Lonchura striata: one gene and its partner. The protein of the gene in region 2 binds, or shares a complex with, the protein of the main gene of each other region. Links are inferred from orthologs where the notes say so. Each region holds a gene or a part of one and is shown on either strand. Other genes may lie near its edges.

Region 1 (7,577 bases), on a different chromosome or scaffold from region 2:
CAACACATATTTCTGTCTGCAAAATCCTCTGCATTAGATACTATGGGAGTATTTAATCCATAGAATTACTGTTTTTCATATTAATGAGTTATAAATAAGAGCTTAATTACTCCTAATTCCTTGAAAATCCACTGTTGGTGATTATAATCACTAACGATTAGATTGTTAAACATTCATCATTGTCTATCTTTAGCAAACTTAATGAGAAATTATGGATCAAATCTCAGTTTCTGATTCTGCTGCCAAGTGCTGGTGGAAGAGAACCCCTGCTGGCTGTGAGCAGTGCCAGGTCACCACTGGCATTACCCCTTGGCAGTGGCATAGGATGACTGGGAGTCAGCAAAAGATGTGAAGGGAATATACTGTGTTCCTGCCATTCACAGCCCACAGAACTGTCTCCAGGGACTATTTTTTCCTGATGTAACTAAAAGCCCTTTCATCCAAATCTGCGTTTACAAAGCCTAACTACCCCTGAACTTTCTTGTTTCATTATCAGGACAATGAGAAGGTAAGTCACTTGAGAAATTTCATCCATTTTGAAGAAAAATCACTCCATATATATTTTAAATAATCTTTACCTGGGAATTTAAGTGGATGATTTGTGTAGAGGTAGATAATGACACTATCCTTTCCACTTGCTCTGTTGAAAGAGCTGTATCATCCAACAAGGCAGGAAATGTGGTGGCAGTCATTTCTTAAACCATCTCAATGGTGCTTTCAAGTGAACATCTTTCCAAAGTATATTTTCTTCCTTCTCTTTGTCAAAGTGCTTTTCTGCACTTTTGTCAGCTGCAATTGACTTTTTGGAATAGCAAGAGACTGCTAAAAAATAATCTGGATGCGGTCTCAATAGCACCCTGCATAATGGCACCTCTGGTAAAATGTATCTTGGAAAGAAAGGGAGAAATTAAAAAAAAATACTGCACATATTCTATACACATAATTCTCTCTGTATAGGTCTACATAAATACAGAACATAGATAAATATATATGTGCTCTATACATGGTTCTATTTAGATATATAGAAAGACATATATAAAGACATAAATCCTGTAATGCACTTAAATACATAAGTTTAAGAAATGAGGAATGCCAGTGATTTGATCCAAATGAGTGAATATTCTATATTTAAAGTTTGATGCTGAACTGGAACTGTGGATGAAAAAATCTGAATGAAGATTAATCATTATCTGTACTGAAAATAAACTTCACAAAGAAAAAAGTGTTAATATAAAATATCAGACCACAAGTACAGTGAGAAAGGTCTATCCCCCGCTCTGTAACATGCATGTTTCAAGCCTCAGTTTACTGTTTGCTTCATTTTATATTTGGTATTTAAGCAGCTCATAATAAGATAAAAAGACATGTGACAGCTTAGTATAAATTAAGAAATAATTTAAAGCTTTTCAGAAATGTATATTGAGTGACATCAGTGAAAACTATGTTGATGAAAGATCTAAACTGAAATTCATTATGCTACACATAACCAGCTATACTTAGGCATGAAATCTATCTCTAGCAACTGCTACTAAACAGTTTTGGCCTCTTGAATAAAAATAAAAGTCACACTTACTAAATTTAAGCAATTTTTCTGGGAAGTAGAGACTTTCTGTAGGAATATATGGACACTGATATGCCCAAGTAAATGGCAGAACTGTTCAGTGGTCTTCTGTGATAGTTTTTAATTTGCAGATTTAAGTCCAGGATTCTGTGGTAGTTACTTCAGGTAAGTCCTACAAAACATAGCATTATAGTCCCACCATTTAAATCAATAACAATATTCTCAATTATTTTAAACTATTAAAGCTATACAGATTTTTTTTTTCTTTGAGTTTTACCTCATAGTAATAATGGTGGCACTTTGGATTAATAAGCAGAATTGTTACTGGGTATTTTGTTTGAACTGCAGACTAGAAGCTAAATAAGACAGGAGTGGAAGTCCCATAAGCAGGATTTTGGAAGAGAGGCTGTAATCTTTTGAAGTATCTTTTGGGTTGATTTCAACTGGACTGGTTCCCTCAACAATCTGCCCTTATAAACCACCCAAATCCTAGGACCAGAAAATGAGCAGAAGTGGGGACACAACAGAGAAAATGAGACCCTCCTCTTCAAGGTAATATGGATTTATGTTGTGTTGAAGTGACCTTGGGAGTCACTCCAGCCTGAGTCACTGATTCTCCAACAGAACCACTGAATTGAAAACTACATATTTAAAAACTGACCTCTTGTTTTAGGATTCTTGCTCAACTCCAAACCAAACTTCAGTTTTGCTCAGTAGTCATCCATAGAAGACGCAAGTTCCAAACATCACTATGAACTGCTTCCAAAGTATTTAATCTCCCACATACACTATAGAAATGTGGACTCACTGAGACTTCTTTCAGTTATTACATTTGAGATTTTTTTCTGAAACATGGTCCATCTGTATGCAGAGGAATCTGCCCCAACAGATTCCATGTTTCAAAAGCTAGAAGAAAAAGTATTTCACTCTGCTGAGAAGGATAGGTCATGGTATGACACATTAAAACATACCTGTTGTTCCAAATAAAGATTTTATCACAAGTCAAGAAGTGGACTGAACTAGTAAACAGCAGTAACCCATATAATTATGCTTTGTCAAAACTGATAAATAGCAGGCCATTAAAAAAACCCACCAAAAACCAAGATGTTACACAAATTTGTATAGATAACCATTCATCATTTAGGGGGTTTTTTTCTGTTTGTTTTTGTTTTTTTTTTTTTTTTGCTTCTCTTTATCTAATTTCATTCAGGTTGGTTTCAGTAGTTTCAGTCTATAAATTTACAACATATATTTCAATATCTAAAATACTATTCAGGCCAAGCCATGATGATTGTGCATGTACATGCATATTTACAAAAAACCCTGACTGCTAAAAATAAGCCATCCTTGATTCACATAAGTCTTATTTACTTATTTAACCAATATTGCGCCCAACTCTGAGTATGGAAGGAGTTTATCATTTTAGTTTTCATAACCCAGCATGCAGTTTTCACATTTATCCCTCTAATACAGTATGCACTGCTTATGCATAATATAACTTCAGCTGTAATTTGAATCTATGGTTATGTATTTTCAGAGCTTGACTGGAGCAGAGGCTCCACAGACCTAGCTTTAAGCAGTTTTGTGTATGAACACATGTAAGTTATGCGCACTTTATATGTGTAAGCTAGGTCCCACCTGTCCACAAAAATCAGATTTGTTATCTGGTGTGCAACAAGCCAATAACTATTCACTCATGAGACACTGATTATTTATTTCTGAGTTGCACAAGCCTGGGCACTTGGTGATATTCCAGAAATCAAACACCTTGCTATAAAAACTTTTTACTATTTATACATTTTAGCAAACAATGGAGACAGTGTTAATTTCCTACAAGTTACAGAGTTCTCTTATTAATTAGTATTCATTAGCTAGTGATTCGCTTCTTATGCTAATTAGTCTGCATGCTCAAACTTTCTCTTCTTTTGGGTCTGGGGGTTTCTTGGGTCCATGGTCACCGTCTGCCCCTGCCGGAATTACCTTCTACCCAGTGGGAGCTGATTTAGCACAGTTGGCTTTTCAAGTTTTTTGCTTATCTCGGGTGTTCTGCCAACTGTCCTCGAGGCCCGTAAATTCTGCATCCTTTGTGCCCGCTACTAGTGAGTACATCCTTCTTCCCAAGCCTCGTTAACCTGCCCCGAGCTCTGAGATCACTGGAACACGTCCAGCCCTAGACCTTAACACGGCACTTCTACCAAACTTGTCTTCCTAACACTGGTCACCGCTTAGAGCTTGCTAGGCATTCTCTGTTTCACAGATTAATTCTCCTTTCTTGTTGATTGGATTTCAAACCATGCAAAGATCAAAGAACATCCCTTCTTAAGAAAAGTTTACATGTTTCGTATTTTGCAACACCCTCAAGCCTGTCCCTGTGGGAGAAATGGCTCAGCCCTGGGGCTCCCACAGCGGCAGGGTGCCCCAGCGGCTTTCCCAGGGGGATAACACGGGATAGATATCGCGTGGGACACCCGGCGGGGGAAGCGGCAGAGTGCCCCAGCGGCTCTCCCAGGGGGATAACACGGGATATCCCGTGGGACACCCAGCGGGGGAAGCGGCAGGGTGCCCCAGCGGCTTTCCCAGGGGGATAACACGGGATAGATATCGCGTGGGACACCCGGCGGGGGAAGCGGCAGGGTGCCCCAGCGGCTTTCCCAGGGGGATAAACCCAGCGGGGGAAGCGGCAGGGTGCCCCAGCGGCTCTCCCAGGGGGATAACACGGGATATCCCGTGGGACACCCAGCGGGGGAAGCGGCAGAGTGCCCCAGAGACTCTCCCAGGAGGATAACACGGGATATCCCGTGGGACACCCGGCGGGGGAAGCGGCAGAGTGCCCCAGCGGCTTTCCCAGGAGGATAAATGGGATATCCTGTGGAACACGCGGCGGGGTAAGCGGCGCATTCCCCTCACGGCCGCCCCGCCCCAGGCGGGCCCGCGTGGCCACGGCGCATGCGCGCGGGCCGAGGCGCTGGGCAGCGGCGCGCGGCGGCGGCGGGAGCGAGTGAGGAGCCGGTGAGAGGAGCCGGGCTGGGCGGGAAGGAAGGAAGGGAGGCAGGAGTGCCGTGAGGAGCAGAAGGGGCAGACCTGCTTCTGTTCCGCTTTCTCGGTAGGAATCGGTGCGGGAGCGAAACCCGCATCAGGCTGAGCCGGCCCTTAGGCCGGGAGCACCCTCAGCCTCGCAGGCGTGGCGGAAGGAGCCCGCGCTAATGGAGGCCGGGGGTCGGCATTCCCCCTGAGCCACGGCACGCCCGTGCTGGCCGGGGGGCTTGTGGGGCCTGAGGGGACGCAGAACCGTGCTAATCTCTTAAATTCAGTCATTTTTGTATGTTATTTTTGTGTTAGAGTGTGGAAAGGCTGCCAGCTGTAGGTATGTTAGGACCAGTGAGTTGAGAGAAATCCTAGTAAATCATGAAGTCCCGCCGTGAAGTTTAACTTGTGCTCTTCTTAGCTGTGAAGAGGTCTCAGGTCTCAGCTGAAAAGTGATTTTGGCACCTTCCTGGTCTGGTTAGTGTCATACCTACACCTTCCCCGGGCTGGAACACCCTGAATTCAAGCTTTGGCCGATACTTACCTTCTGTTATCATTACCATTTAATCTAAATTAATTATTTCGTGAACTCGTTGCTCTAGGCATCCTTTATCGTGAGCACATGAATGGGGTGCTGTTGGAGATTGAGACACCTACGTATAGCCGGTAGAGATGTAGGTTTTATTTCGCGGGCTGAAATGTGTGTGGTGGAAGTTGCTATTTGCAGGGTGTGCGAGAAGCAGGCGGGGCTGGCAGATACGGTGCGGTCGGAGGGAAGTTTGCCTGGGAGTGGCCTTGAAAAACTGAAGTGCTTTGTGGAGTGCTTCAGATGCGTTTAGGACACAGTCAAGCCCTGTTCTTATGTAGCCAGTGGAGCAAAAGGGCTGTTTTTTGTGGTTTTGTTTTTTTTTTTTTTTTTTCTTAAATTTACACAAGGTTTTCAGCCTTTTCTAGTACTTTTCCCCCACTTGTTTGTCCTGGGTTTTAGAGGCTCCTGCCATAGTTTTTTTCTTTTCGTCCTTGAAATAACTAGCTAATTTTTTAACTTAATCAAGCTATTTGGATTTTTGCTTCTTCATTCCATTTTGAATGGATACCTGAATAGGTATGGTGGAAAGATGCACAGACTCATTCAAAGCTGGTAAAATACACCAAGGCTCTTTGTATAATTCTGTGTATAGGAAATAGTTTGCTTGATACATATGATTGTGGGGTTTTTTTGCCCCTAACAACAGCATTACTTTGACTTTCCATACTTAGTATGCGATTGACTTATAAATAAACATATTTTCATATTTTCATATTTTTCAGGTTACTTCTGACTTAGTTTCTTGATATCTAACTGTAGTCCTTATATGTGATGTGATTACTTTAAAGTAGGTGTAATATAAGTACTAAGTTAGTTATATCATCAGTGATATAATTTTTTTCCTCATTAATTCCATTTATTTTTCTGTTGATGATTCTACAATCCCAGCTTTTACTTTAGAAAACACTGAAGGCAAAGTGTAAAAATAAAAGAAAATGTATTTTCTCAAATAAATTTATGGAAATACTGACCAGAGATTTGTCCCAAAAGGAACTCTATTTTAAGGTATTTCCATAAATACATTTATATTTACAAACCTCCTTGTAGTGCAATCCACTACTGCATTTTCCCTTCAGAAAAGTTGGTTTTCCCTTTACCTTGCTCTTTCTGATTTCCTTCTGCTAACCTAATCTTTTTTCCTGTGTTGTTGTACTTATAGCCAGCATAATATATATGCCTGTAAATACTTACATTTAAAACAGTTGGGAGTGCTTTGTTTTATTGTCTTTGTCTTGATAACATATAGATAATCCTGTCACTTGATATCTTTATTGCCTTAATGAAATTTCCAAGCTTTCTTTTTGATTGTTGTGTTGTGTTTGACAAAGTCAGAAACCAGCTGTTGAGGTTCAGTTCTCTCTGCATGTTGTCTGTATCACAACAGGTAAAAGTACCATCTTTCCAGCAGTTTTAGAAGTGCAGAGAATATTGTTGAGGTGTTGTTTTGTGTTCTGTCACTGAAATCCAACCTTCCCAGTGTTAGAGCAATCAAGACCTTTGTTTTTCTTTATCTAGTCCTTGTCTAAAAGGTAAATTGCCATTAATATTAGTTTTATGTAACTGGTTTGGACTCCTACTATTTTTAAAGAGTATTTCCAGTCTTTACCATCAACTGGATTTTCTTTATATGCCTGTGCTCCTTCCAAGATGGGGTTAGCATTCCTGTTAGCAGCCAGAGATCTATTACTTTGTCATCCTTATCTTTCCTTATGTCCTACCTCTTTTCCTGTTGTTTGATGATCACCTTCCTGATCATCATCCCTGCTCAGGGAGGTGATCATCTATGACTAAGCTACTCATTTTTATTTTCTTGCTAATTTTAAGTGTATATAAAATCAGAATTAAATGTGTAATTCCTCAGTTAACTAAACTGTACTGATTTGCTCATATCCTGTATACCTTTATATTTTGATTTGGTTTTTTTTTATTTTGTCTGGTGTGGAAATGTCTATATAGTTATGTAGTTAAGTCCAATTAACTCCTTATGTAGTTAAGTCCAATTTTACCAAGTCTTTTAAGTCTATGATAGTTACATGCTTTTCTTGAGCTAGAATGTCTGTTTAGATTTTCTATAGATTCCTTTTATGTGTATAGATGCAAGTGATAACAAAAACTTTTTATTTTCCAGATTTTTCTTGTCTCTGCACCTCAGAAAGGACATGCATATTTAGGTGACTAACTACAGGACTAACAAAATGCCTAATCTTGAACATCCAGCGTACCCAGCAGCTGACCTGCTTCACTTGGAAAGTTTAGTGCCTTGTCGAGAATCCCAGGTGTCCACGTTGCTGTCAATATTTGGCGAGGTAGTGCTCTTGTATTCTATGTTTGACTAGAACAAAGGCATTCCGCTGCCTCAGGGAAGAGAATAAAAAATTTAAGGGTATTTTTGTGATGTCACTG
Region 2 (7,509 bases):
TCCAGGATAATGCACTACCAGTGGCACATTGAGTAGGACACAGCCTGTAAATTGCTTTTCAGAATTCCAGTATAAACAGGGGAGGCTTGTTTTGTAAAACTGACATAACAGAACTACATTTCCTCACAACAGCAATAAAATGCCTATGTGAGCTCTGCATGTACTGTTTTAATAAATGTTTTTGTCCCTCTTGTAATGAAAACTTGTGCTCACATCAGGTGATTCCACTTATATAAAGTCAGTCTTGGAAAAATTAGTTTTTTAAATACAACTGCAGAATTTGACCTGCATCTGTCCCAGTACTGATTATTTTACAGTGTTATTGTCCCACTTAAATCACTTCTTCCTAACCCTAAATTCCCCATCTGGATGGCTCCAGAAGTAAGTTTAAATATTGGTCTCTACTTCAACAAACACGATGTTGGCACAGAAATTTTAGGATTTACTTCTAGCACATTTCACCAACAAACAGGAGAAAATCTGAAGTAGAAATAAAGTATCACAGCAAGAGAATGTAACTTCTTGCTCTGCCAGGCCATTACACAAAGTCTTAGAACTGGCACTGAAAGTATCAAAAAGAAAAGTGCTTCATGAATGAGAGATGCGAAACAAGGACAAGAAATCCAAAACTCAGAGCCTGACAAAACCAGCAGGCAACAGTTGTATAAAAACTACACAATCTGAGGCAAATAACTTTTGGAAGCACTGGGTTGGAAGTGAACCTATATAACTTAGTAAAACAGAGAGGCAGAAAGTTCTGACTTCAGCAAACTATTTTACCACTGCAGTTAAATTAGAAATCACTGAATCCTAGAGCCTGCTCACTCACCTGTACTGCTGCTCCATCCCAAACAGTTTTCCAGCAGCACAGTGGTGACAGAATCTTTCACGTAAGATTTTTTGCACCTAGGGATGTAACACAGCGCAGGAAAAATGTCTGGGGCTCCAAACACCAGAATTTACCAATCATGTAACTCCAGCAATAAAATAACAGCAAATTAGGTGCTTTTGTGGTGTTAGAAAATATTCTATAATACATACATTTTTACTGTTACCAAGGATAGAATGGTCTTGAAAGTAAGAATAAAGTTGCAGGAGGCAGAGTATTGTATAAATATTATATAAGGGAGAAAAAGCAATTAGAAGATATTAAAACATATAGGAAATCACTGATCCAGGGGTAATTCCTTGCAAGATGCATTACAGTTTTTAACCAGCAACTTTGAGAAAACAGGAGAATAAAGGTTAAAAAAACCAAAACAAATTAAAAACTGATTTGGCAGCTGCTGTTCTGTTGCTAAAAATGTCACCTGGGTTCTGACTCACCCTACAAACTGGAAGATAAGAAAACCTAAATGGTCAAAAATAGATTTAGGCAAATCTGTTGCCACAAAGAGTTGCAGAAGTACAAGAACATCCTTTAAGTTTTTTACTGCATTATAACAGTAACACTTGAAGCAATCAACAGGTGGGAAGCTGAAACACAGGGACAAAAGCTATTTAGTGCCCTAACAATTGTATCTGCCAGGCTTTATAACTGGCCTAGGAAAAAAGATAAATTATATCAATGGCACAGGGTGGAAAAGGTCCAGAATGTGAAAAGAAAGTAATGAATAAAGGTGTTACTGACCTGGGAAATGTTCTCAGCACTTTCTGCACTGCTCTCCTTCAACTTTCGCTTGTTTGTTGCAGAATGTTTCATCTTTGGAGAAGAGAAAATAAGCATTTCATTAATTAAGCATTTCCAAACAATCCCAGTCCGAAACTGTACTTAGATGTCGATCATTTTTAAGTACTGTAATGAACATCTGTTCTTAACTAATAAAGATGCAACAGTCCATCTCCCTAGTGAAAAACAGCTGAAAAACACTGAAATAATTTTAAATTTATTCCTGATAAACCTATGTTGACACACATCTCCTAAACAGCACTGGCTTTAGGATGCTTTAGGCAGTTTAAAATAATGTCCTTATGTTTCTGCAGCTGGAACAAGCTACAAGCACACGGGAACACATCAAGACAAACAGTTAAGTTTTTACAGGAATAACTGGTCATCCTTGTTTATAACATTAACCACAGCATCTCTCTGGACAAGCTGGCTCTGAAGGGGTCCTAAGGGGATTGGGGGGGTCTCTAAAGAGATTTGGGTAGATTCAGAGGGGGTCAGGGGGGAAAACTTTAGGGATTGGGGGTCCTTGAGGGGGATCATGATGGGATTGAGAAGTTTGAGAGGGTTCTGAGGGGGATTCAAGAGGGCCTGAGGGAGGCTCTAAGGGGGATTTGGAGAGGAATTACAGGTCTTGAGGGGGACTTAGAAGTGGTCCTGGGAAGGGTTTAGGGGTGGTCCTGAGGGATTTGGAGTGAGGAATTTATGGGGGCTAGGAGGGTCTGGGAATGCTCTGGAAAGGAATGGGGATGGGGGCGAGAGTGTCCATGAGGGAGCTGGGGAAGGGCTGTGGGAATGGGGAAGGTGGGAGGTCTGATTTTTCGGGGCTGGGAGAGTCCGTGACGACCCTGATGAGGGAATGGAGATACCTCAAAGAGCTTGGGAGGGTCCATGAGAGGCTGTGGGGGCGCTGAGGGCGGGTTTTGGGAGGACCCTGAGGAAATGGGGGGAGGCCCTACAGGGCTTGGAGGGTCCTGGGGTGCTGTCCTGGGGTGCTGTCCTGGCCTCACCTGTCCTCCCCTCACGGCGTGTCCCGCCTCTCCTCCATCACCCGAGGGCGGCCACCACCGCTCGCACGCTCCCCTCAGCCCTCACCGGGCAGCCAAGACCTCCCCCCGCCCCAGCAGCCATTCATCCCCCTCAGAAACCGCTCCCGCAGCTCCCTCCTCACAGGCTGTAACCGCGGCTCCCTCAGAGACGCCGGAGCCCGAGCGGATGAAGGGCGGGCGGTGGGGCGCATCCTCCGCTGCTCGGGCACGTCCCGCCCGGCTGAGGCGGAGGCTGAGGCGGTGGCTGAGTTTGAGGCGGAGGCCGGCTCTCCCTCACCTGCCCGCGCTGCCCTCACGGCGCTTTCCCGCCTCTCCCCCCCCCCCCCCCACCTGAGGGCGGGGCCCGCCGCGCACGCGCGCTCCCACCGGCCCGCGCGCGCGCCGCCCCCCTGACGTCACCGCGCGCTGCCCGCTGCCCTCCCTTTCCCTTTCCCCCTTCCCCTCCCCTCCGCTCCGCTCCCGTCACTTCCTCCCCGTCCATTTCCATCCCCCCTCATCCACTTCCTTCCTCCCCATCCCGGATCCGTTTCCGGGAGCGGCGCGCGCGGCGCTGTGGGAAGTCGTCGTCCCCCCCCCCCTCACCCCCCACCCCCCCGTTTCCCCCCCCCTTTCCTCCCCGCGGCCTCCCGAGCTCCCCCGGGGCGCATGCGCGGTGGCGGCCGCCGCTGCTGCCTGCCCTCCTCTTCCTCCTCCTCCTCCTCCTTCTCCTCCTCCTCCTCCTCCTCCTCCTTCCCGACAGCGGCGGCGGCGATGAGGAGGAGCGCGGGGGGGGGCGGCGGCGGGACGGCCGGTTGTTCGCGCCGCTGAAGGGACGCGAAGCAAGCAGCGCCGCGCCGAGGCGGGGGCGGGGGGCCCCGAGTCGCTGCCCCCGCCGCAGCCCCGCCGGGGAGTTTCTTCCACATCCCCCCTCAAACACACACCGAGACCGCCCCCCCACCCCCGTCCCTTGGGGGCGGCCCCGCGGAGCGCCGCTCCCTCCTCCTCCTCCCCCTTTATTACCCTTTGTGTGCGTCTCCGCCTTCCTCCCCGCGCCCGGGGGCCCTGAGGTGAGTGCGGGGGGAGCGGCGGGGCGGGGGGGGCTGTTTGTTTACCCCGCGGTTACCCCCCGTTTGCCCCGGGGGGCACCGCCTGTCACCCGGGGCCCCTTCCCGGCGCCCCCCGCCCCAGCTTTGTTGTCGGGGGATGCTCCGGGGATGCTCCTTGGGCCCCTCCGGAGCGGCACGGGAAGGGGGGTGATGGTGGCGGGGGCGCCGGGCAAAGTTCGGGGTGGCGCGGTGGGTGCTGAGCCCCGGCCGAGTCCCGAAAGTCTTGTTTTCCTGGGATAACACCCAGCCCCGGCGTTGCCCCCCCCCAGGTTCCAGGCCGTTGTTTGACTTATTGTTTGAGTTATTAAACCCCTGCGGTGGTGAAGGTACAAAGACCACTTGTACAAAGACCCTTTCCCGAGCTCAACTTCCAGGGATAGGCAGTCCAGGAGCTGGACTTGGTGTTTGCAGGGTTGGGATGTGGTTTGGTAGCAGCCCCTGGTTATCGGTGGTGCCCGGCTATATTTGGTCAATGGTTTGTTGGGATATAGATGTCGGGATGTGTTTTTCCATGGCTTTCTGCTGGGAAGGCCAAGCGTCTCCATCCCCGCTCACGGTGTTGGTCAGGTGCTGCTGGTGGACTGACCTGACCATGTTTTCTGCTGGTTCGAGGGAAACTTGCGTGTTCCAACGTCTGAAATGGGTTAAAATGCAATGGCTTGAAATGTCAAACTAAATTCTGGGCTCGAGGAAATGTTGGGAGAAGCCTTCTAGATGTTTGCAAGGATCCAGAAGTAAGAGTTGGGGCATTAACACCGAGTTGAAATGAGAAAGTACCCTACACAAGGAGGATGTTTATATTGAAATTGCTGTTGTCTGCTTATTTCTGGGGCTTAATTATGTCCTCTGTAATTTCCAAAAGACGGTTGGAGTGCTTTGGTTTATTTTAGGCTTATTATTTTTGGTTTATTAAGTGCTGAGTGCAGAACCACGGAGTAGGCCATGAGTGTGTGCTCCAGAGGGGCATCCCAGTTTAAATGGTGGTCAGCAGAGAATGTGTGTCACTGTGCCCCATGCTGAAGGATGCCCACAAGAAAGAGCTCCCCTGACATGCTGGGCTGTCTCCCATTTCTAATTTCTACCCACGTGTCTGGCGTGAAGCAGCAGTTTTGGGGTCGGGCTGGGAAGGGTTTGTGGGAGCTGTAATTTGATGGGGTGTAAGGAACAGGAGAAGACCAGAGCTGGATTGATACTGGACAATGTTGTGATGGAGAATTGGAGGCAGCAGCCATAACTGTAGTTCTTTCTGATAGTTTGCTGTTAGTTTTATTTTTGCTTGTAATAACTTTGGGTTTAAACGTGTGGGGGAAAAATCTCAACAGTGACAATCCCCAAAATCAGCAGATCTGTGTATAAACACCCATGATTTAAACATGTGATTTGCCTTTTAGTTTACTACAGGTAGGAGTTGGACAGCAAAAGCCTGTCCAAGAGCGAAGGACATAATTTCATGGTTTTATTTCATGACAGTGCTGCTTTTCTCAGCCGGAGATCCCATTGATCTGCTTTCCTCTGTACATGGAAGCCTATAGTGGCTGCAGGATTACATTCCCCGTGTATGTAGAGCTGCAGCTCTGCTCCCAACTTCCACATCCTACAGTGATGTGATACAGTAATTATTACAAGGATTTAACCATCTCCTTGTGTTTTGGCCTTTAAAGTACCTATGGTTTGGTTTAATATGGCTATACAGTAAAATTGAACAGGATTCTGAAGCTGGGCAGAATAATTCAGGGATTTTTCTTGCTTTAAATCCTAGAGATAAAATTACTGATGGACCTTCATTTCCATAGGCCTGCAGTCCTGCAGCCACGTCTGTGCTGGAGAGAGAGCTGTGGGATTGGGGTGGGAAGGGCCCTCTGAAGGAAGCACTGCTGGGACTGGGATTCTGGGTGGCAATTCCTGCATTTCTGCAGGCTTAGCACAAAGGGGTCTCAGGCGAATTTGGGGCTTCTGGCTGCTGTCACAGCCTTCCAAGAACCGAAGGAATTGAATGTTTCAACCTGTTCTAGGAAAGATTGTGCATTATCGACAGCTGTAACTAAAAGGCAACACAGTTTCCTTTTATTTGGGGTTCCTAAGCACCTTTTTGCTACTGATATCAAGATATTTACAGGTGATGATTGCTTTTAGGAAAACTTGTTGCAGATTTTCCAGATCTTTATCTTTGGGGACAAAATTAATAATTATTTTGCTGTATTCTGGGTCAGTGGCTCTAAGGGCAGATAGCTTGGAATTAGCAAGGACCTGCCATGGCTGTGCTGAGCATAAAGATGCTGTTTAGGCCTGACTTTAATAATGTTTCTGTGGAGTTTGCTGCTGTGCCTTCCTTCCTTTGTGGACACACGAGTTGGTCTCTGTTTGGATTAGGGAGGCGGATGTTTGAGGAGAATCTTTATGATGCAATACCTTCAATAATTGAACTTTTCTTGTACAACTTGGAGTCATTTCATTCTTGGGCTGTGGAGGGATCAGTGTTTCTCCTTGTTCAAAAGCACTGGAGATCCTGGCATCAGTCACAGGCCTCTCCAAGGTGGAATGCCTTGGGATTCAGCTGGGTTATTTCATTCACTTTCTCAGTGGATTTATTTTTTTTTCCCCCCTACTATTTCTCATGGTTATTCCTTCTTTGTGGAAGCTCAGTGGCTGGAATACAGTCTGTAGGTCCACCATGAGTTTATGGATCAGCAGCCAGTGGTCCCTGTGGAAAGCAGCAGGCCAGGTGGGAGCCCTCCGTGCCCATCTGGAGGACACTAATGTCCCAGTGTCTCTCTATGGGCTTAAGAGGCCACGTACACAAAGCAGTTCAATCTCATCTGTTCATGGCCAGGGACACAAATTTTTGAAAGTGGCTGAGCTTCCTTTGCAAAAATCCTGTCAAAACTTTGGGAAAGTGGGGAATTCTGTTTGTTCTTTCAGGCTTGTTGGGTTGTCTCAGGGTTTAGGTTTGTTTGGTTGTCCCTGTGTTGGTTCTTGTTCGGTCCCAGTGGAAATCAGAATTACCATTGCTTTCAAAAATAAAAAGATACAGGATACATTTATTTCCTTTTTAATGCTCTTATGCCATTAAGGACCTGCTTATTCTTTTAAAGGGTTACTTGAACGTTGGAAACCACAGGCTCTCATTGGCTTTTCCTTGTTTTTATTTTTGGAACTATTAGGTGGAATAATACTGCTCAATCAGTTTCAAATGGGCCTGCACAGGAACCAAGGCTGGTGTTAGGGGTGAAATTTTGGAAGAGCATTGGAAAGAGCTTTCAGGATGCTTTAATCTTTCTTTGCCTATCTGGAGCTAAACAAAGAAGGAATAAAACAAAAAGCAGCAGTTAAGAAATTGAGAAGTGCTGACTTCTCTTGAATTTCAAGTTCTTTATTATAGCAATTCCTATTTTCTAGATGAATTGTCTAGAAGGGAGTTCAGACTTGGTGCTATTTTAAAATTTGTCCAAATCATTTGGACTACAATGTTAAAAAGTGTATGAGTACACACGCAAATGGGTTTATCTGCATACGCAAATACACATATATACAAATATATAAATGAGCGTCTACAAGAAGCAGTAAAAACCATCTGATTTTTAACTTTCCAGTGCTGCTTTAAGCTCCTTGTGGCTCCCAGGATCTGCATTGTGCCCCTCAGCTCCAGGCTGGCAGCAGGAATCAGCGAGAGCCCTGCCATGGCTATTCATAGAGCTCTGTGAAATGAGTT

What was found. Proteins that work in one complex are often made in the same cells at the same time.
Region 1: the proteins of ORC4 (region 2) and ORC5 are in contact, whole or in part, in a cryo-EM structure (PDB 7JPO), measured with the Homo sapiens proteins. The link is inferred for Lonchura striata from reciprocal best matches to the Homo sapiens genes ORC4 and ORC5. Residues at the interface, in NP_001177808.1 of Homo sapiens: Ser18, Gln21, Arg22, Arg25, Glu26, Cys29, Arg30, Gln31, Arg69, Thr74, Asn100, Leu102, Leu103, Gln104, Ile105, Ile109, Glu113, Arg116, Asp162, Arg277, Met281, Met284, Leu285, Asn288, Met311, Asp312, Ser313, Lys314, Asn316, Ile317; in NP_002544.1 of Homo sapiens: Ile17, Ser20, Leu21, Phe22, Gly23, Glu24, His26, His27, Phe28, Ser29, Phe30, Pro31, Tyr36, Gly37, His38, Thr39, Thr98, Phe99, Asn100, Val103, Arg104, Arg131, Glu134, Asn136, Pro139, Gly140, Arg143, Gln145, Glu146, Leu147.

Annotation. Positions count from the first base shown.
Region 1 is NC_134607.1:60,494,125-60,501,701, forward strand, and holds the start of ORC5 (origin recognition complex subunit 5), read left to right. Parts: upstream 1-4,512; 5' UTR 4,513-4,570; intron 4,571-7,302; 5' UTR 7,303-7,369; coding exon 7,370-7,480; intron 7,481-7,577. UniProt on the Homo sapiens protein: Component of the origin recognition complex (ORC) that binds origins of replication. DNA-binding is ATP-dependent. The specific DNA sequences that define origins of replication have not been identified yet.
Region 2 is NC_134610.1:2,480,071-2,487,579, reverse strand, and holds the start of ORC4 (origin recognition complex subunit 4), read right to left. Parts: upstream 3,027-7,509; 5' UTR 2,907-3,026; coding exon 2,838-2,906; intron 2,793-2,837; exon of another isoform or gene 2,677-2,792; intron 1,703-2,676; coding exon 1,631-1,702; intron 907-1,630; coding exon 830-906; intron 1-829. UniProt on the Homo sapiens protein: Component of the origin recognition complex (ORC) that binds origins of replication. DNA-binding is ATP-dependent. The specific DNA sequences that define origins of replication have not been identified yet.